Linked DNA regions of Anolis sagrei. The protein of the gene in region 2 purifies or fractionates together with the protein of the main gene of each other region. This does not show direct contact. Links are inferred from orthologs where the notes say so. Each region holds a gene or a part of one and is shown on either strand. Other genes may lie near its edges. The genes, in order: EZH2, NUMA1 and EPB41L3.

Region 1 (7,720 bases), on a different chromosome or scaffold from region 2:
AGAGAGTTCCAGAGTCAAAGGGCCACCACAGAGAAAGCCCTATCCCTCGTCCCCACCAATCGCGCTTGCGATGCAGGTGGGATCGTGAGCAGGGCCTCTCCAGATGAACAAAGAGATCGTGTGGGTTCGTACACAGAGATGCGGTCACACAGGTAGGCAGTTTCCAAACTGTTTAGGGCTTTGTAGGTAAGCACCTGCACCTTGAATTGGGACCGGAAAATGAAAGGCAGCCAGTGAAGCTCTTTAAACAGGAGGGTTGACCTCTCTCTGTAAGAAGCACCAGTTAGCAACCGGGCTGCCGCTCGTTGGACCAATTAAAATTTCCGGGCCGTTTTCAAGGGCAGCCCCAGGTAGAGTGCATTACAGTAGTCCAATCTGGAAGTGACTAAGGTGTGGACCACCCTGGCCAGATTCGCCTTTACGAGGTACGGTTGCAGTTGGCGCACGAGTCTTAATTGTGCAAAGGCCCTCCCGGCCACCGCCGACACCTGAGCTTCAAGCGACAGTGATGAGTCCAGGAGGACCCCCAAACTGTGGACCTGTGACTTCTCCTCTCATCCCTCTCAGGGCAGCAGAAAACAAACTTTCTCCCTCCTCCCTGTGGCTTCTTCTCACATACTTATATATGGCTATCATGTCTCCGCTCAACCTTCTCTTCTTCAGGCTAATCATGCCCAGCTCCTTAAGCTGCTCCTCATAGGGCTTGTTCTCCAGACCCTTGATCATTTTAGTCGCCCTCCTCGGGGCACATTCCAGTTTGTCTCTTCAATTGTGGTGCCCAGAATTGGACACAATATTCCAGGTGTGGTCTAATCCAAGGCGGAACACTTTATTATTTATTTATTTACTTTATTTCTATACCGCTTTTCTCAGCCCGTTAGGCGACTCAATGCGGTTTACATAATACAGGTTATCACAACAGTATCATAAGCAATTAAAACACATTATACATAGACTCATAGACTCATAGAATCAAGAGTTGGAAGAGACCTCATGGGCCATCCAGTCCAACCCCATTCTGCCAAGAAGCAGGAATATTGCATTCAAATCACCCCTGACAGATGGCCATCCAGCCTCTGTTTAAAAGCTTCCAAAGAAGGAGCCTCCACCACACTCCGGGGCAGAGAGTTCCACTGCTGAACGGCTCTCACAGTCAGGAAGTTCTTCCTCATGTTCAGATAGAATATCCTCTCTTGTAGCTTGAAGCCATTGTTCCACGTCCTAGTCTCCAGGGAAGGAGAAAACAAGCTTGCTCCCTCCTCCCTGTGGCTTCCTCTCACATATTTATACATGGCTATCATATCCCCTCTCAGCCTTCTCTTCTTCAGGCTAAATGTGTCCAGCTCCTTAAGCCGCTCCTCATGGGGCTTGTTCTCCAGACCCTTGATCATTTTAGTCGCCCTCCCCTGGACACATTCCAGCTTGTCAACATCTCTCTTGAATTGTGGTGCCCAGAATTGGACACAATATTCCAGGTGTGGTCTAACCAAAGCAGAATAGAGGGGTAGCATTACTTCCCTAGATCTAGACACTATGCTCCTATTGATGCAGGCCCCATAACAGACAAAATCAAAAACAATCATTATCATATCATAACGCCTCAACAGCAAATCAGAATCCGTTCTCATAATCCTTGTACCTTTTTCCTATGTTCGATTTTACCGTTTTCCTGTATTCATTTGCACTGTTTAGCCAAACGCTTGTTCGTAAAGCCAAGTCTTAACCTTCCTCCGGAACGCCAACAGCGAAGGGGCCTTTCTGATGTCTACAGGTAAGGCATTCCACAGCCGAGGGGCCACCACCGAGAAGGCCCTGTCCCTCGTCCCCGCCAAACGCGCCTGTGATGCAGGCGGGATCGAGAGCAGGGCCTCCCCAGATGATTTTAATGTCCTAGTCGGTTCATAGGTGGAGATGCGTTCGGAGAGGTAAGTAGGGCCGGAACCGTTTAGGGCTTTATAGGCTAACGCCAGCACCTTGAATTGTGCCCGGTAGCAGATTGGCAGCCAGTGGAGCTGGCACAAGAGAGGAGTGGTATGCTCCCTGAGTGCCGTTCCTGTTAGCAACCTGGCTGCGGAGCGCCGAACCATTTGAAGCTTCCGAGTAGTCTTCAAAGGCAACCCCACGTAGAGTGCGTTGCAGTAATCTATGTGGGATGTAACCAGAGTGTGGACTACCATGGTCAAGTCAGACTTCCCAAGGTACGGGCGCAGCTGGCGCACATGTTTGGTACTTATTATTATTTGTTGTTTCTGGTTTATGCAAGGTGCTATTTGTTTATGTTTTTTTTGTGGGGAGGTGATGTTGTGCTTTTTGTGTCATGGGATTTCTGTTGTTTTAACCACAGTTCTCCCAGGTATGGGAGAAAAGCGGGATAAAAATATAAATAAATAGTAATAATAGTCGGATTCAAGATGGTTCTGTACCTACACAACAATGGTGGCTCCTAACAGCAGCAGCCAAAGCCATGGTATTCCCTGTAGTAACCTATGGACGTGAGAGCTGGACCTTAGGGAAGATCGATGCTTTTGAGCTGTGGTGTTGGAGGAAAGTTCTGAGAGTGCCTTGGACTGTGAGAAGATCCAACCAGTCCATCCTCCGGAAATGAAGCCCGACTGCTCATTGGAGTGAAGGATACTAGAGACAAAGCTGAAGTACTTTGGCCACATCATGAGGAGACAGCAAAGCCTAGAGAAGACAATTATGCTGGGGAAAGTAGAAGGTAAAAGGAAGAGGGGCCGACCAAGGGCAAGATGGATGGATGGCATCCTTGAAGTGACTGGACTGACCTTGAAGGAGCTGGGGGTGGTGACGGCCGACAGGGAGCCCTGGCGTGGGCTGGTCCATGAGGTCACGAAGAGTCAGAGACGACTGAATGAATGAACAACAACAAGCTGTCACCTGCCACGCGTTGCTGTGGCTGTCTGGTGATCTGGAAAATAAAGCAATGAGAAGTGTTGGTTTCCAATATATGTAATGTCTTTATGCTTGTGAGTAAATAGTATTTCTTGCAGTTTCTTTGCCAGTGTTGATGTGGCGATTGTCTGGTTTGCCTACTGTGGAACACGCAACATATCATGTTGTTGTTCATTCGTTCAGTCGCCTCCAACTCTTCGTGACCTCATGGACCAGCCCACGCCAGAGCTTCCTGTCGGCCGTCACCACCCCCAGCTCCTTCAAGGTCAGTCCAGTCACTTCAAGGATGCAACATATCATAGTCCTTCTTTAAGGGTCCCTTTCAAATCTATGATACTATATCTGTGTGTGTGTGTGAGAGAGAGAATCGTATCTATCTTTATGACTGGATGGCTCTGATTACATTACTAGAAATCCCCAATGTCTATTTCCTCCAAACTCCATCTGTGTTCATATTTGGGCATATGGAATATTCGTGCCAAATTTGGCCCAATTCCATCATTGGTGGAGTTCAGAATGCTTTGATTGTAGGTAAACAATAAATCCCAGCAACTACAACTCCCAAATGACAAAATCAATTTCTTTGAGTGAAGGACATACATTGGGTTGTTAGGTGTCTTGTTTCCAAATTTGGTGTCAATTCATCTAGTGGTTTTTGACTTCTGTGAATACCACAAACGAACATTACCTTTTTCTTTATATATACTAGCTGTCCCCTGCCAAGTGTTGCTGTGGCCTAGTCTGGTGATCTGGAAAATAAAGTAATGAGAAAGTGTTGGCTTCTAATATATGTAATGTCTTTATGCGTGTGATTTATATAGATAGTCGGATTCAAGATGGTTCTGTACCTCCACAACAATGGTGGCTCCTAACAGCAGCAGCAGAGAGAGAGACGCACCTCAACTGTAAGCCAGACCCGACTGTTTGTGGAAACAGGCCTCCCCCCCCCCCCCCCCAAATCCAGCAACAGGCGTCGAGGGGGCCGGGCGCAGAGCCCCGCCTGAGGGGCGGCCAGGCTCCCCCATTCCCCCCGGCCGCGCGCGCGCAAAGGCAGCCACGGCTGTTAGAACCGTTAACGGCCTCCCGCCCTCCTGCCTTGCAACGGGGCTGAGGCGGTCCACTTCCTCCTGAGGGAGAGAGCTTGCCCCGCGCGCCCAGCGAAGAAACCACATTTGAAAAAGAGGAACCGAGGCAACTCCCGCCTTCTTCTAAACAGCGCGAGAACAAAGAACTTCCCCCTCTTTCCCGCCCTGCACGTGGGGGGCGCGCGCAAGCCCCCGCCCCTCGGGCCCAGGACGCCGAGGATTGGCTGAGACCCGGCTACGGGGGGGCGGGGAGAGCGCGGTTCGTCCAATCCGGACGACGGCAGCTTCTCTCCAATGAGAGCCGGGGCCATTTGGCCGCCGCCGGGTTTGGCGCTCTGTTGTCCGGAGCCGAAGAAGAGGAGGAGGAGGAGGAAAGAAGAAGGAGAAGAAGGGAGAAGTGAGCGGGGCGGCGTGACGGACGGGAGGCGAGCCGAGAGAGGGGCGCCGCGGGCCCGGCGAGGAGGGGGTAAGCGCGCGAGCGAGTGAGGGAGCCGGACAGAGACAGGCAGACACACCCGCTTCGAGTTCTTTGTCGTGCTTGGGGGTGGGAGGGGGGGGAGGGGCGCCTACAAGTGAGCGAGGGGGCGTGGCTTCCTGTGAAAGACAGGTGGGGCGGGGCCTTCCTCAATGGGGAGAGAATGGGAAAGGTAAGCGGGGAGAGGCGAAGCTAGTCTACAGGAGAGTGAATGAAGAGCCCGGGAAAATGAACATGCTACGGGGAAAACAGGTGGAAATGACTGAAGTCGTGCTCGTGAGCAGGTGAGGGCGCCTCATTGGGAGGGAGGGAGAGAGACATTACTCATTGGCATTACTTAGGCCAGTGTTTCTCAACCTGGGGGTCGGGATCCCTGGAGGGGTCGCCAGAGGGGTCACCAAAGACCACCAGAAAACACAGTATTTTCTCTTGCTCAGGGAGGTTCTGTGTGGGAAGTTTGGCCCAATTCAATCCTTGGTAGGGTTCAGAATGCTCTTTGGTTGTAGGTGAACTATAAATCCCAGCACTTACAACTCTCAAATGTCAAGGTCTATTTTCCCCAAACTCCGCCAGTGATTACATTTGGGCATATTGAGAATTCGTGCCTTTGATTGTAGGTAAACTATAAATCCCAGCAACTACAACTCCCAAATATCAAGGTCTGTTTTCCCCAAACTCCACCAGTGTTTACATTTGAGCATATTGAGAATTCGTGCCTTTGATTGTAGGTGAACTATAAATCCCAGCACTTACAACTCTCAAATGTCAAGGTCTATTTTCACCCAACCCCACCAGTGTTTACATTTGGGCATATTGAGAATCCGTGCCTTTGATTGTAGGTGAACTGTAAATCCCAGCAACTACAACTCTCAAATGTCAAGGTCTATTTTCCCCAAACTCCGCCAGTGTTTACATTTGGGCATATTGAGAATTCGTCCCTTTGATTGTAGGTAAACTATAAATCCCAGCAACTACAACTCCCAAATGTCAAGGTCTGTTTTCCCCAAACTCCACCAGTGTTTACATTTGAGCATATTGAGAATTCATGCCTTTGATTGTAGGTGAACTATAAATCCCAGCAACTACAACTCTCAAATGTCAAGGTCTGTTTTCCCCCAACTCCACCAGTGTTTACATTTGGGCATATTGAGAATTCGGGCCTTTGATGGTAGGTGAACTATAAATCCCAGCAACTACAACTCCCAAATATCAAGGTCTATTTCCTCCCAACCCCACCAGTTTGGGGAATATTGAGAATTTGGGCATATTGAGAATTCGTGCCTTTGATTGTAGGTGAACTATAAATCCTGTTATCATATAATTGTGTAGGAGCCGCTGGATGATCACAAATTCGTCAATTTTTTGGAGCACTTATAACTCTCAAATGTCAAGGTCTATTTCCCCAAAACTCCACCAGTGTTTACATTTGGGCATATTGAGAATGCGTGCCTTTGATTGTAGGTGAACTATATATCCCAGCACTTACAACTCTCAAATGTCAAGGTCTATTTTCCCCAAACTCCACCAGTGTTTACATTTGGGCATATTGAGAATTCGTGCCAAGTTTGGTCCAGATCCATCATTGTTTGAGTCCACAATGCTCTCTGGATGTAGGTGAACTACAACCAGGGGCGCTCTTGGGGGAAAATAGACCTTGACATATGCGAGTTGTAGTTACTGGGATGTATAGTTCACCTAAAATCAAAGAGCATTCTGAACTCTACCAATGATGGAATTGAACCAAATAGGGCACACAGAACTTCCATGATGAACAGAAAATATATATCAATGAGTGGGTGGGTGGGTTGGTTTGCTTACCGTTGAAAATTACCTAGGGCCGCCTCTGACTACAACTCCCAAAACTCAAGGTCAATGCCCACCAAACCCTTTCAGTATTTTCTATTGGTCATGGGAGTTCTGTGTGCCAAGTTTGATTCAATTCCATCCTTGGTGGAGTTCAGAATGCTCTTTGATTGTAGGTGAGCTATAAATCCCAGCAACTACAACTCCCACAGGACAAAATCAGTACCCTCCCCCAATCCCACCAGTATTCAAAATTTGGGTGTATTGGGTATTTGTGCCAAATTTGGTCCAGTGTATGAAAATACATCCTGCATATCAGATATTTACATTACTATTCATAACAGCAGCAAAATGGCAGTTATGAAGTAGCAATGGAACTAATTTTATGGTTGGGTGTCACCATAACATGAGGAAGCGTATTAAGGGAGCGTGGCATTAGGAAGGTTGAGAAGCACTGACTTAGGTGATCTCTCCTTGCCAGAATATGTTGGCCCTTCAAGTGTTGTGTCTTGGTGGTGGATATCTAGGTGGCTATAGAGCCCTCTTCTTGACACGCATGTTCTTCCACAGTGAGGGTCATATCATGATAAGACATGGCTTACCAGAAAAAACAACGTTCAGCTAGGTGTAAGGTAGTTTCCCCTCCCCTTATTTGTTTACTTTTTTTGAAAACCATGCAGTTAACAATACATCATAGTACAAACTTTGACAGTATATGAATTAATATAGATGACTATTTTCAATTTTTGTAACTATGTTACAGTTTCAGTTTTTACTTTTTCAATATAGAATGTTAGTTTCCCTTTGAATCCCCCCTCCCTACCCTCAAATGGGTCAGCTTGTATCAATATTTATTTATTTGCTATCTGTACCTGCCATGTGTTGCTGTGGCCAACCTTCCCTCCCTCTTTCTCTCCTCTTTTCTTTCTCCTTCCTTCCCTTTCTTTCATTCTTTCCTTCCTTGTCTTCCTCTTCCCTTCCTTCCCCCCTTTTCTTTCCCTTCCTCTTTCTCCGCTTTCTTCCTTCTCTGCCTATTCTTGGACTGCACCTCCCAGCACTCCTTCTGATCAATCTATCCACATACCTATTTGTCTATCTATCTTATCTATCTGGAGGATTGCTGGGAGTTGCAGTCCAGGAATAGGAAATTGGAAATATGCAGGGATTGGGATGCTTTCAAAGACATCCAAGGAGAAGAATGCTTGCAGCTTGGAAGCAGTGCATTTGGCTCATCCTCCTCCTCTAAAGGGCCGGGTCTAGGGGATACTGGGAACTGTAGTCCAGAAGAGAGGGTGGATATGCTATTGTGTGTTTTGTTTGCTAAAGGGAGTTGTTATTGTGCATGTATTGTAGTGTCTTTTTGCTTTTTTGGCTTTTTAAGTCCCTTCTGTTATGTTTTTCAGTGTTTTCATGAGTGATGGTCACTTGTTTGCCTCATAGGTGT
Region 2 (6,965 bases):
AGCAGCAGACATAGCTGCACTGAAGCGGCTTTTTAGATTAAAACTCTAAATTCAACAGCTATATAAACTCTTTTTCCTAGTTCCAACAGACCTCACTACCTCTGAGGATGCTTGCCATAGATGCAGGCGAAACGTCAGGAGAGAATGCCTCTAGAACTTGGCCATATAGCCCGAAAAAACCTACAACAACCCAGTGATTCCGGTCATGAAAGCCTTTGACATACATTAAAACTCAACAGCTACTGATTGGCTTGAGCACATGCAGTTGCACTGGAGGCTTCTAAGAAACATATGGTTGTTCATTTCACTAATTCTAACAATGTAAGAAAGACAGTCATCCAGGTCCCCATCTAAAAATTGACAAATAAGTAGTATCTTTACTAGGCAACAATCAAAATCCACACGGCCTTTCAGGACCTACAGAATTTTGACAAAACAGTCCACTCTCATTTCTGCCTAGCTGAAGAACAGAAGAGTCATGCAGATCCATAAAACTAAGTCTATGGCTAAATGCTTAAATATCAGGTCACTTGAAATAAAAGAAAATGGGGCCCAAGGAAGAGGAAAGAATTGGCTTGCTCGCCCACAACAATTAAGTATATGGGGAAAAAGAATTGGGGTGCAGGTGGGTGTAAAATAGAGTGGCAAGCAACACTTATCTCTATTCCAACTTTCTCCAAAAATTTCTTTCTCCAACTTTCTTACAAGATGCACGGTGCACACATTAAATAAAAACGTGTCATAAAGAAAGGAGAAAACACTTTCTTCCTTTCCTACTTTTAGGAACAACATTCACAAAAGATGAAAGAAATAATAATAATAATACTTTATTTATATCCCGCTACCATCTCCCTGGCTTACATGAGGCCGAGGCCATAGAACAACAATAATTAAAGCAATCACAAAACATCAATACAAAACAATCAAAATAATCTCATAACAAAATAAACAATAAACAGTAACAATAAACAACAAGCATTTAAAAACTTATGGCTGGGCCAAATGTGATAATTAAAAATTAAATAATAATAATAATAAAATAAAAATACCCATGTGGGAACAAGGAATCCCTTAGCATGGCTCACTTCATGCATCTGAAGAATTAGATGCACAAAAGCAGGCACCACAGTAAATATATTAGCTGTCATGACAGTCTTGCTGTCCTAGTGCAATATGTTAGAGCAGGGAAGGTGGCAGGGGCATCTTTTAGGCATTCACTCCTTCTGAAAACCAACTATCACCCGCTCTGTAGTGACAACCACAATGCTTTCCTGTCAAAGCCGTCAATCATTCTAGAGGGCTACAATTCACACAATGCTGCCTGGAGCTTCTGGAAGCTGAGAGCAAATCATCAGGAGGACCAAAGGTTCATTACTAGCTGTCAGGAGAAGGGATTCAGTGTGCACTTTGTCGCCCTCACACTTGTTTCTTTGCTGTTTATGAAGGACAATTCACACAGCAACAGGGCTGTAGCAAAGCAGTAGAGTCTCGCTTATCTAACATAAATGGGCCAGCAGAATGTTGGATAAGCGAAAATGTTGCCCATGCCTGCTCTACTGTAACTATCAATTAGACGCAAAAACATCATGCGGAAACTTACTGGCAGCACATGGGGTGCAGACCCAAAATTAGTACGGACATCAGCCGTGGCCTTGTCTGACTCAACTGCCGAGTATACCTGCCCTGTTTGGCATAGGTCTGCCCATGCAAAGCAGGTGAACATAGCATTGAACGAAAGATGCAGAATTATCCCAGGATGTCTTAAACCTACACCTGTTGATAAACCCTACAAGCTAGATCATAGAATCAAAGAGTTGGAAGAGACCTCATGGGCCATCCAGTCCAACCCCCTGCCAAGAAGCAGGAATATTGCATTCAAATCACCCCTGACAGATGGCCATCCAGCCTCTGCTTAAAAGCTTCCAAAGAAGGAGCCTCCACCACACTCCGGGACAGAGAGTTCCACTGCTGAACGGCTCTCACAGTCAGGAAGTTCTTCCTAATGTTCAGATGGAATCTCCTCTCTTGTAGTTTGAAGCCATTGTTCCGCGTCCTAGTCTCCAAGGAAGCAGAAAACAAGCTTGCTCCCTCCTCCCTGTGGCTTCCTCTCACATATTTATACATGGCTATCATGTCTCCTCTCAGCCTTCTCTTCTTCAGGCTAAACATGCCCAGTTCCCTAAGCCGCTCCTCATAGGGCTTGTTCTCCAGACCCTTGATCATTTTAGTTGCCCTCCTCTGGACACATTCCAGCTTGTCAATATCTCTCTTGAATTGTGGTGCCCAGAATTGGACACAATATTCCAGATGTGGTCTAACCAAAGCAGAATAGAGGGGTAGCATTACTTCCTTAGATCTAGACACTATGCTCCTATTGATGCAGGCCAAAATCCCATTGGCTTTTTTTGCCGCCACATCACATTGTTGGCTCATGTTTAACTTGTTGTCCACGAGGACTCCAAGATCTTTTTCACACGTACTGCTCTCGAGCCAGGCATTGTCCCCCATTCTGTATCTTTGCATTTCATTTTTTCTGCCAAAGTGGAGTATCTTGCATTTGTCACTGTTGAACTTCATTTTGTTAGTTTTGGCCCATCTCTCTAATCTGTCAAGATCGTTTTGAATTCTGCTCCTGTCCTCTGGACTATTGGCTATCCCTCCCAATTTGGTGTCGTCTGCAAACTTGATGGGAAGTTGCTGCTAAATTTAAGAGAAATAAGGTTGAACACTGTGAAAGCCACCCACTACATGGCTACCAGCCTCCTCCCAGTAGACTCAAATCAAGGAAAAGCTTTATGGGAACTACCACTCCTCTTGGTGTCCCTCCAGCAACAGCAAGGGTATCCCTCTGGGCAGCTAAACCAGGAAATCCCAACTGGGTGCCCCCCAGTTGGGAATGGTGGGAGTTGGAAGTCCAAAACACCTGGAGGGGAGGGCCGAATTTTGCCTTGCAGAAGGAACAAAGGGAGGCCTCTCCTTCAGAGGAAGGACCAGGAAGCCTTCATAAGGAGTCCAGAAGGAGAAGGCGCGGGAAAGGCAAACAAACCTCCGAGGCTTCATCCTCAAAGACTGCTAAACTGCCTGGCTGTATGTTGAGGCCTTCCTCCCTCCCTCCCTCCTCCTGGCTTAGATTAAGAGGAGGAAGGCCCGTCCAGGCAGGCAGGCAAGTGCCCGGATGTGGAAGGCCCAACTGCGCTCGCCTGAGCCTCCTCCTCTTCCCAAGGAGAGAGAGAGGGAGGGAGGGGGAAGCAATTAGGGACGGACACAGGCAGGAGCCCCCTCTTTATTTACTTCCCTCCCTCCCTCCTGAAACAACAAGCAAGCACCCCCCCCCCCTTTGCCTTTGTCCAGGCCTTACCGGAGTAGCAAAGCCAAACAGTTTTTCTTTCTCTGGGCGCCAAATGTTTAATCCGTCATTAGCGTTTGAAACCTGGAAGAGGAGGAAGGAGGGAGGAAGGGCTGGAGGGTGGCCAAGGCGCGCGCAGGCGCCCCAGGAAAGAAAAGTTGTTGCTCAAGGCCCGCACAAGCCCCGCCCCCTTCTCCCTCCAGCCCCGCCCTCCTTCCCTAACCCCGCCTCCCTCCCCCCCAAGACAGGCGAGGTGCCAGCTGACGTCACAGCCAATAGGCGCAGGCCAGGCCAGAGCCCGAGTTGGGCCTAAAGAAGCTTGCAGGAGGAAACCTCCTCCAGGTTTATTTATGAACCAGAAGCAGAGGAAAGAAAGGGACCTTACAGGCCATCCAGTCCAACCCCATTCTGCCAAGAAGCAGGACAATCGCATTCAAAGCATCCCTGACATATAGCCTCTGTTTAAAAGCCTCCAAAGAAGGAGCCTCCACCACACTCCGGGGCAGAGAGTTCCACTGCTGAACAGCTCTCACAGTCAGGAAGTTCTTAGAATCATAGAATCAAAGAGTTGGAAGAGATCTCATGGGCCATCCAGTCCAACCCCATTCTGCCAAAAAGCAGGACAATCGCATTCAAAGCACCCCTGACAGATGACCATCCAGCCTCAAAAGAAGGAGCCTCCACCACACTCAGGGCAGAGAGTTCCACTGCTGAACAGCTCTCACAGTCAGGAAGTTCTTCCTTGTGTTCATAGAATCCTAGAGTTGGAAGAGATCCCATGGGGCATCCAATCCAACCCCATTCTGCCAAAAAGCAGGACAATCACATTCAAAGCACCCTCGACAGATGACCATCCAGCCTCTGTTTAAAACCCTCCAAAGAAGGAGCCTCCACCACACTCGACTACACTCCCTGGTAGAGAGTTCCACTGGGTTGTTGTAGGTTTTTTCGGGCTATATGGCCATGGTCTAGAGGCATTCTCTCCTGACATTTCGCCTGCATCTATGGCAAGCATCCTCAGAGGTAGGGAGGTCAAAATGTCAGGAGAGAATGCCTTTAGACCATGGCCATATAGCCCGAAAAAACCTACAACAACCCAGTGATTCCGGCCACGAAAGCCTTCGACAATACAGAGGGTTCCACTGCTGAACGGCTCTCATAGTCAAGAACTTCTTCCTAATGTTCAGGTGGAATCTCCTTTTTTGTAGTTTGAAGCCATGGCTCCATTGCACCTTAGTCTCCAGGGCAGCAGAAAACAAGCTTGCTCCCTCCTCCCTATGACTTCCTCTCACATATTTATACATGGCTATCATGTTTCCTCTCAGCCTTCTCTTCTTCAGGCTAAACATGCCCAGCTCCTTAAGCCGCTCCTCATGGTAATCAAGGTGACCAATTAAAACATTCACACCTAGCTCCAACAGATGTTATTTATTTATTTACTATATTTCTATACCACCCTTCTCAGCCCAAGGCCAACTCAGGGCGGTTTACAAAATGGCACAATTTGGTGCCACAATAATATAAAAACAGCTTAAAGCATATAACACACATAAAAGTCCTTAAAGCATATAACATCCATAAAAATGCATATAACATACATACAGGAGCCCCCGGTGGCGCAGAGGGCTAAAGCACTGTGCCGGCAGGACTGAAGACCGACAGGTCGCAGGTTCGAATCCGGGGAGAGGCGGATGAGCTCCCTCTATTAGCTCCAGCTCCTCATGTGGGGACATGAGAGAAGCCTCCCACAAGGATGATAAAGCATCAAAAATCATCCAGGCGTCCCCTGGGCAACGTCCTTACAGACGGCCAATTCTCTCACAACAGGAGCGGTTGCTCCTGACACGACCAAAAAACATACATAAACAGTAAAATCAATAAATGCATAAATCCTCCACATCTCAATACCCAATCGTTATACGATCACAATTGTCCAGTCGTTTCGAGGTCAAGAAGTTATCTGCTACACTGCATTTGAGAAAGCCTGCTCACAAAGCCAAGTTTTGACTTTTTAACAAAATATTAATAATATTAAGAGCTCCCTAATGTTCCTAAGGAGAGGTTTCCACAGCCGAGGGGCCACCACAGAGAAGCCCCTATCTCTCGTCCCCACCAATCGAAGCTGTGAAGAAGGCAGGACCAAGAGCAGGACCTTCCCAGAAGATCTTAAATTCCTAGATGGTCATAAAATATGAGTTCTTTCTCCGACCCTGGACATTCCACAGATATATCAACCCCATTTTCCTAGTTTTCAACAGACCTCTCTCAACCTCAGAGGATTCCTGCCATAGATGCAGGTGAAATGTCAGGAGATAATGCTTCTGAAGCATGGCCAGACAGCCCAGAAAACTCACAACAACCCAGAACCAGGTTTAGTTATAAACCAGAAGCAGCTAAAAGAAAGAAGACTCCCCACAAGGCCATTCGGTCCAACCCTCTTCCTCTAGGTAGGAATGCACACAATCCAAGCCCTCCCAAAATATGACTGTTGTCTGTCACTTTCGCAAATAACAGAGAGGTCCAAGCTAAGGCACCATCTAAGGTAGGTATGGGCAAACTTCTGCCCTCAGTGTGTTTTGGACTTCAACCCCAGCAATTCCTAACAGCCGGTAGGGTGTTAGAAATTGTGGAGGTTGAAGTCCAAAACACACGGAGGGCAGAAGTTTGCCCATGCCTGATAAGGCCTCACTGCAACACAGAGGTCACCTCAACTACTGCAATCCAAGGCAGAGACATCTCCAGCTCATCCCCTGTTTGGGTATCAGCCAGCACGTCAACGACTTAAATCAAGAAAGAGTTTTCTAAGATCTACAGAGACACTCGCTGGAACACCTCTGCAAGCAAGAGTCCAAAAGTGGCAGGCTCAAACCCAGAACCTCAACCAATGGCTGATACCAAATGAGACTCCCCCATGGGCACACGGAAAACTGGGCAACTTGGAAGGCGCTGAACAGACTGCGCTCTGGCACCACGAGATGCAGAGCCAACCTCAAGAAATGGGGCCACAAAGTGGAACCCACGACATGCGAGTGTGGAGAAGAGCAAACCACTGACCACCTGCTGCAATGCAACCTGAGCCCCGCCACATGCACAATGGAGGACCTTCTTGCAGCAACACCAGAGGCACTCCAAGGGGCCAGATACTGGTCAAAGGACATTTAATCAACTACTAAGCTTGCAAACTCTTGTTTTGTCTGTTGTTAAAATTTTAATACAATTGTCTGGTTGATACTGACACGATAAATAAATAAACTTCTGCAATTAACAGGTCGGTATAGTAATACCCGCAGTAGACCCTGACACAAGTTGGCCCTGCAATTAAGACTTAAGGAGTTGGAACTTGGTTAACATAAACATAAGGCAAGTGAGTTACTATATTTCCTGCTAATCGCTTAAACAATAAATAAATAAACTGATGGAATATAAAGACTACCCCTGGAAGATAAGAAGCAATTCATTTTAAATCCCGCTTGGGTTTTTTTTTTCTTTTCTTTTGCTGCCTGCTGAACTGCAAGACATCCCTTTGCAGGCGCTCATTAGAAACAGCTGTTTGAAAGAGGCACATTCCTGCAAGGGCCCCAGGGACCTTGAACGCCGCCCAATCTGGCAAACCCTGCAA
Region 3 (7,967 bases), on a different chromosome or scaffold from region 2:
TGATCACATTATTTTATCAGTTTTAAACTTATTTATTTATGCAATGCTTTTGACACAAAATAAATAAATCATGTAGATGGGCACTTAGTCCAGACGGACACCCCTCTCCTTCCACATTTCATCTCTGCCAGGAGCAGGTCTGTAGGAAAGCAAAGGGATCTTCATTGCCATTTCCAGATCCAAATTCATCAGGATGAACTCACAAAAATAGGCTGCTGCTAAAAGTCCATTTTTTCCATCTTTACCCAGGACAGGAGCCCAGCTCAGAAAGACCAGAAAGGAGGAAACCTGATGGTGTCATCATGGCTGCCAATCAAAAAGGGATTCCATTCTTGGAGTCCCAGATCTGTTATGCCACTGCTCTGCAAACATACATATTTTTAGTCTTGCTATCTCACTGTGTGGCACAGTGACAGTTTGATCTGCATAGGTCTGTTAGGAATAAGCATGGGTACAGTGGTTTGCTGTGAGTTTTCTGGGGTGTATGGCCATGTTCCAGAAGCATTTTCTCCTGATGTTTCACCCACATCTATGGCAGACATCCTCAGAGGTTGTGCAGTACAAAAGAAACTAAGCAAAGGAGGTTTATATATCTGTGGAAGGTCCAGGGTGGGAGAAAGACTCTTGTCTGCTGGAGGCAAATATGATTGTTGCAATTGATCACCTTGATTAGCATGGAATGGCATTGCAGCTTCAAAGCCTGGCTGCTTCCTGAATTAAGTTGTCCTGAATCTCCATTCAGGGGTTGAGAAGGACGGGGTAGAAATACTAGAAATAAATAAATAAATTTTGATCTCAAACATTTTCCCCCACAGCCGCTTAAGCGCTTAAGTGGCTGTGGTGAAGATGAAAGGGCCTGAGGCTGTCATGAATGATGGGAGTTGAAGTCCAAAACACCTGGAAGTCTGACTTGGCCATGGTAGCCCACGCTCTGGTTACATCCCGTATGGACGACTGCAATGCTCTCTACGTGGGGTTGCCTTTGAAGGCTGTTCGGAAGCTTCAAATGGTCCAAGTTGTTAACAGGAGCGGCGCACAGGGCACACACAACTCCTCTTTTGCGTCAACTCCACTGGCTGCCAGTTTGCTACCGAGCACAATTCAAAGTGCTGGCTTTAGCCTATAAAGCCCTAAATGGTTCTGGGCTGCCATTCAGCTTACCTGTCCAAACATATCTCTCCTTATGAACGATCTAAGACCCTAAGATCTTCTGGGGAAGCCCTGCTCTCGGTCCCGCCTTCTTCACAGACTTTGTTGAGGGGAACAAGGGACAGGGCCTTCTCAGCGGTGGCCCCTCGGCTATGGAACGCCCTCCCTAGGGATATCAGATTGGCCCCCACCCTCTTAACATTCTGAAAAAAAGTTAAAACCTGGCTTTTTGAGCAAGCTTTCCCAAATGCAGTGTAGCAGACAAACTCTGATCTTGGGAACGACTGGACAATGCCATTGTGTAATGATTTTGGTAATGAGACACTGTGGATTTATATTTTCATTGGTTTTATTTTATTTTATCAAATGTTATTTATGCTAAATGTTTTAATTGTTCTTTGTTTTGTAGGCATCGAATGGTGCCATTTGTAAACCACCCTGAGTCGCCTTCGGGCTGAGAAAGGCGGTATATAAATATGGTTAATAAATAAATGCTGGATCGGGGTATAGGGTGGCAACCTATGCTGGATAGGGTTGCACTCCCCCTGAAGTCACAGGTCTGCAACCTGGGTGTCCTCCTGGATTCATCACTTACACTTGAAGCTCAGGCGTCAGCGATGGCTGGGAGGGCCTTTGCACAATTAAGACTCGTGCGCTAACTGCGACCGTATCTTGTGAAGTCGGATCTGGCCAGGGTGGTCCATGCCTTTGTCACCTCCAGATTGGATTACTATAATGCACTCTACGTGGGGCTGCCCTTGAAAACGGCCTGGAAATTTAAATTGGTATACTAACTGGTGCGACTTACAGAGAGTGGTCAACCCTCCTGTTTAAGGAGCTCCACGGGCTGCCATTCATTTTCCGGTCCCAATTCAAGGAGCAGGTTCTTACCTATAAAGCCCTGAATGGTTTGGGACCCGTCTACCTGCGTGACCGCATTTCTGTGTATCTCTTTGATCATCTGGAGAGGCCCTGCTCGCACTCCCACCTCCTTCGCAGGTGTGATTGGTGGGGACGAAGGAGAAGGCCTTCTTGGTGGTGGCCCCCCAACTCTGGAACTCACTTCCCAAGGACATCAGGCATGTCCCAACTCTGGCAGTCTTTAGGAGGAGCCTGAAAACGTGGTTGTTCCAGTGTGCCTTCCCAGAATAAGGAAAATTCTCAGCAATACGCCCTCAAAATGCACTTTACCACTGATTTAGGATTGACTGTGTTCCCTCATCTCTCTTTGAAATATACCAGTTATATCCTACCTTGTTCATGCCCAGCGTTATTTTTTTAATTTTTTAAACTATTACATTTGGCCCGGCCATAGGTTTTTAAATCCTTATTGTTTATATGTGTTATATGTATTAACTGCATTGTATTTATTGTTTTTGTTTATTGCTTTTGTTTATTGAGGTACTGTTGGGCTTGGCCTCATGTAAGCTGTTCCGAGTCCCTTGGGGAGATGGTGGCGGGGTATAAATAAAGTTATTATTATTATTATTATTATTATTATTATTATTATTACATAAATAAAGAGCCCCCCTGTGTATTACCGTCTATGCAGGAGGCTCCTTCCTCGCCCTTCTGAGGGAAGCCACTGAGCGCCTTGAGTCTCCCACCAGGAAAGGGAAGGGAGGGCGGGCACGCGGGAGCCGGGCACGGGCCAATGGGGAGACGCTTCTGCGGGCGGGGGGCGTGGCTACGGGGCTGTGGGGCGGCCTCTCGGCGCGCGCCCAGGACGAGGAGCAGTGCTGCTCCTGGCGCTGCAGGTGGAGGAGAGCTTCTCCTCCTCCTCCTCCTCCTTTTCCTCGGGAGCTTTGGAAGCGCGGATTCCTCCCAGCGCTCTCCTCCTCTTCCTCCTCCTCTTCTCTCTTCCTCCGCACTTTTCCTTCAGGGCGCCGGAGCAGCGTCCCATTCTTCCTCAGGTGAGCCTCCTCCTCCTCCTCCCGGGACTTTGGGAAGGGCGCGCGTGGGGTGGACGGGGCAGGGAAGGACCCCCGAGAAAGAGAGCGCGCGACCTGTCCTTGGTTTGAGGTCAGCGGGGACAGATGCCGCTTTTGCCTCCCCCCTGCAAGGAAGCCTGCTTGAGTGGGGGACGAAAAGGAGCCGGACACGCGTCTACGCATCCATACGAGCTCGTAGACGCGTGTGTGGGAGCCCTCCTGGCCCGCGCTCAGCCTTAAGCCCTCCCCCCGCCCTGCCCGCCTGCTTGCCCAGGTCGGCCCTTGGAGGGGTCAGCGCCAGTGCGCCTGCGCGGGAGGGGGCCGGCTAATCCTCTCTTGATCCCCCTCCGTCCCCGGTCCCTCCAGCCAGGAAGAATCCTTGTCGCCTTCCTTTGCGTGACAGAGACCTCTTTCCCTCCGTCCCCAGCCTTTCAGCCTTCCCGGCTCTCCAGTACTAGAGTTAGGATCTCCCATGCTGACTGTCCTATTCCCCATGTCCGTATATGTTTGGGAAAGCTGGACATTGCAGAAAGCTGAGAAGAAGGAAAGCAACTCCTCGAAAAGGAGTGTATACTGGACTGCTGGAAAGACCTACCGCAAATCAAGACTGGAACACTCTCCAGAAGGCAAGACAATTTAAGGACTGCTATCCTTTGGACGTACTGTGAGAAATCATGGCTCCATCGCAAAGACAATATCTTGCTTGGTAAGGTAGTACTTAGGCGATTCCTGTTGTCCAAGTAGGATTGTCTTCCAAGATTGGTGTCCTGGTGGTGGGTCCATAGGTGACTGTGGAGACCTATTCTTGATCTGCATGTTCTCCTTCAGTGAGGGCATTGGTTTCCAGGTGGAAGGTGGTCCCGATCGGGGTTGGCTTGATGTGCCTTCCTCTTGGCACATTTATCCCTTTCACCCTCCATTTGTGCCTCTTCAAATTCTACAGCACTGCTGGTCACAGCTGACCTCCAGCTGGAGCGCTCAAGGGCCAGGGTTTCCCAGTTCCCACTGTCTATGCTAAGGTTGGCTTTGAGCCCATCTCTAAATCTCTTTTCATGCCCACCAACATTCTGTTTTCTGTTCTTGTTGTCCAAGTATGATGGCTTTCCAAGCGTAGTGTCTTGGCAGTGGGTACATAGGTGACTGTAGAGCCCTATTCTTGACCCACATGTTATTCCACAGTGAGGACATCGACAATCAGACAAGAGAAAGACCACACTCCAGGTGGATATATCAAGAAAGACAGTCTCTGCATCTGCAGGACTTGTATGGCAGTGTGACTTGGAGATCTCTCATTCCTGGGGTCACCCTGCATCAACGATGACAGTTAGCAACAATTGATGGACTTATCAAGGTGATTAATTGCAACATCCACACTTGCCTCCAACAGACAAGAGTTCTTTCTCCCACCCTGGACTTTCCACAGATATATAAACCTCCCTTGTCTAGTTTCCAGTATAGCTCACAACCTTTGAGGATGCCATAGGTATGGATGAAACATCATGAGAGAAAGCTTCTCAAAAAAAGGCTATACAGCCAGGAAAACTCAGAGCAACCCAATTGATGGACTCTTATGGTGTTGATGGCAGGGTGACTTGGAGGTCTCTCATTTGTGGAGTCACCCTAAATCAAAGTCAGTGATGATGGTTATCAACAATTGATGGAATCTTATGTTATTGATGACAGGGTGATGTGGAAGTCTCTCTAAATGTCAAGATGACTGAAAATGAGATGGATGTACTTTGGACATATGGAAAGGCATGACTCCCTAGAAAAGACAATGCTTGGTGAAATAGAAGGCAGTAGGAAAAGAGGAAGACCACATTCCAGATGGATATATCAAGGAAGACATGTCCCTGGGCATTGAATGATTGCCTTTTATGTTTGGAATCTGCCCTGAGTCCCTTTGGGGAGCTAGAGTGGAATATAAAGGTTTTTATTATTATTATTATTATTATTATTATTATTATTATTAGTGATTCTGAAAGATTTGAGTCAGGGTATGGATGACAGGGTGACATGGAGGTCTCTCATTTATGGGGACACCATAAATCGAAGTTGACTTGATGACAGTTCGCAACAATTGATTGATTCGTATGTATTTTCAGTTCAGTATCAAGACCAACTTTGGCTCCCCAACTTCTCACTGCCCATATGTATCTGGATAAAAGCAAACCTCATCTCACGGCTTGTGCCTTGTGGGTTGTTCCTTCAATTCAAGCAGAAGGTTGGGGATCTTTTCTTCTGTCTGTTCTTCATATTCTTTATAAGCTTCTTTCTAATGTTTTTAACCTGTTTGCTCTTGGCAGAAATTCAGGTTGCGTTCTCAGCCCCTCCACAAATAGCCAATGGTTTGTGTGGGCAGGATGGAATGCAAGGTGCTGTCTTCATTTCCATCTTTCAGTAAAATAGAAAAAGGAAGGCTCACATACTGAAGGAGACTGGATAGTATTCTGGAAAGAAGCTGCTGTATATTTGTGGGGATACCATATTCTCTTCCAATTTTTTAAGTCTAGTTTATTTATCTCTTGAGCTCAAAATGTTTTTATGAGGTCTGTGTTCTTCATTTTTCTTAGATTTCTGTAAGTGTGTGCACTGTATGAACCTGATAGTGTTTCTCTCTTACTTATCATTTGCAATTCTTTTCCCCCATCGAGAGGGAATAGGATTTGAAACAGGCGGAAGGCTCTTGCCTCTCAGCAGATGGTTGGTCTGGATTGTGAGTGGGGTGTGTGCTGGAACGAATCTAGGCACACAGGAGATTCTTGCTGTCTCATACCCACAGCAGGATCAAGTGATGGTGCAGAAGGGACTGTGGGCACCCTGCAGTGCCGCCTGTGGGGGAAACAACAATCAGGCGCTCTAAGGAAGCTGGTGGCATGGCATTAATAGATACATAAGCAGCCGTAATGAACAGTGTGTGGGCGATGTGAGATTTTCCTTTCCAAGAAAGGAAACCTGTTCTTTGGCTTTTAGGATGACTGGACTTCTGCTGGCCATCATTTCTGTGTTTGCTAAATTTCTTGGGTCCTCTTGATTGGAAGGAATTAATTGATTAATTTCTTTAATGCAGTAATGCCTTGATGTCTTGCCTTCTTTATAAACATAAAGCAAATGTCACTGGTTTGCTTTACTAAAATACATTACTAGTATTTATGTACATCAGACGTATACTTGCAGAAATTCATTTGTCATATTCTTTCATTTTTCCTTACTGTGTGTTTTTGATATGCTTCCATAGTCCTTGTATCAAACCTTTTGTATTCTGTTGAATTTCTCGATGAAGGTAATAGTTTGTGATAATTAGTAAAAAGAAAGAAAAGGTAGCCAGGCAATTATATCTTTTCCCTCTTACTGGCTTACATTTTCAACTAGTGCGCATGTGCATGCACGAATACAATTTGACTCTGCTGTGTTTGAATCTTAGTAAATAATATTTGTCTCCTTCCATGTAGCTTGATATTCTAGGGGATGGTGAGGAAATGAAAATAATATAGTGGCCACCATATACTGTACATAAATGTGTGTGTGTGTTCCCTTCCACATAGCTGAAGAAAATCCTACATTTTCTGCTTTGAACTGGGATATATGGCAGTGTGGACTCAGATAACCCAGATCAAAGCAGATATTGTGGAATTTTCTGCTTTGATGTTCTGGGGAATATGGCTGTGTGGAAGGGCCCTGTGTGTGTGTGCCTCTAAATCCCTGCCTTCCATTATTTTTTTCCTTACCTCACCCGCTGGCTCCAAATGGGAATCAAAGAGTAACGGGTGAGGAAACAGTAACTGATAAGCATGCCAGTTTCCCTCTCCAGCTACTTTAGCTGTGGGAGAGAAAAACTTTAAAGGCCCTCCTTTATCTCCAAGAGTAATTAGGATCCTTTTTTTAGTAAGCTTATGTTGGGGTTCTTCTTAAAGCTGGACTCCTTCCAAGAGTGGCTATGTTTATCTTTGTCTCTGCAGAATACAGTTGTTTCACACGCTGGCTGCGGCTTGTGCCTCCCCTGCAGTTCAGTGACATTACAGCGAGCTCTGCTTAAGCTAATTGCTGATTGTCCGAACAAGTAGCTGAAAGGAGAGGAGACTCGCGGTTCTGATAGGAGCTGGGCAGTTTGATTTCATTAGACCAAAGGCACGGAAGTGAGAGAGCACTTGACTGGGTGGGTCTATTGCAACCTTAGGAAGGGATGGGTAAGGATTATGCTGAAAGTTGTTTCCAAAGGGCAATCCACAGATAGGGAAGGGTTAAAGTGCATTAATGAGTAATAATGCTCAGAGTCCATATTTAAAGACAGCATCAGCAGATTCAGTCTGTGCTTTGCCAGTGTCAGGTAGGTCCTGAAGGTTTCAGGGTTATGGCAGTAATTATGACTTGTACTTATGACCGCCTTGAGTCCCGTCTTGGGTGAGAAAGGCAGGATATAAATATGGTAAATAAATAAATAATAATGAATATGAACTATGCCAAAACTATTTTGTGCAATTGAATCCTGACTGATTAATAGTTGGTTAATTCTTTCTCTCTGGAATGTAATGAACAGTTATTCTGATATAGTTTTCTTGGTCCCACTTTTCAAATTCATTAAAGAATTGGTCATATAAGTAGGATAATAAAAGGTTCCAGCATGGAGTGAATCTGTTCAAGGCTTCAGTTAGCCCAGCCATTTGGCATGTTCATCTTTTAAGAAATATTTTTTTTACTGAATTTTAAAAAGTATTCTACAAACAAAGGCAGCATTCTAAACCTGCTGATACTGCACTCATGTATCTGAATTGTGTGTATGTGTTTTGTTTGGCTGCTAAAGTATCCATGTATTCATGCTGGCCACATGACTTTGGAGGTGTCTACGGACAACGCTGGCTTTTCAGCTTAGAAATGGAGATGAGCATC

The links.
Region 1: the proteins of NUMA1 (region 2) and EZH2 purify together in Homo sapiens (affinity purification with mass spectrometry; 3 studies listed by BioGRID and IntAct, with this or other methods). This does not show direct contact. The link is inferred for Anolis sagrei from reciprocal best matches to the Homo sapiens genes NUMA1 and EZH2.
Region 3: the proteins of NUMA1 (region 2) and EPB41L3 purify together in Homo sapiens (affinity purification with mass spectrometry; 3 studies listed by BioGRID and IntAct, with this or other methods). This does not show direct contact. The link is inferred for Anolis sagrei from reciprocal best matches to the Homo sapiens genes NUMA1 and EPB41L3.

Annotation. Positions count from the first base shown.
Region 1 is NC_090026.1:63,278,919-63,286,638, forward strand, and holds the start of EZH2 (histone-lysine N-methyltransferase EZH2), read left to right. Parts: upstream 1-4,620; 5' UTR 4,621-4,701; coding exon 4,702-4,757; intron 4,758-7,720. UniProt on the Homo sapiens protein: Polycomb group (PcG) protein. Catalytic subunit of the PRC2/EED-EZH2 complex, which methylates 'Lys-9' (H3K9me) and 'Lys-27' (H3K27me) of histone H3, leading to transcriptional repression of the affected target gene.
Region 2 is NC_090023.1:4,834,397-4,841,361, reverse strand, and holds the start of NUMA1 (nuclear mitotic apparatus protein 1), read right to left. Parts: upstream 3,091-6,965; 5' UTR 3,061-3,090; coding exon 3,047-3,060; intron 1-3,046. UniProt on the Homo sapiens protein: Microtubule (MT)-binding protein that plays a role in the formation and maintenance of the spindle poles and the alignement and the segregation of chromosomes during mitotic cell division.
Region 3 is NC_090024.1:62,974,238-62,982,204, reverse strand, and holds the start of EPB41L3 (band 4.1-like protein 3), read left to right. Parts: upstream 1-4,935; 5' UTR 4,936-4,957; coding exon 4,958-5,009; intron 5,010-7,967. UniProt on the Homo sapiens protein: Tumor suppressor that inhibits cell proliferation and promotes apoptosis. Modulates the activity of protein arginine N-methyltransferases, including PRMT3 and PRMT5.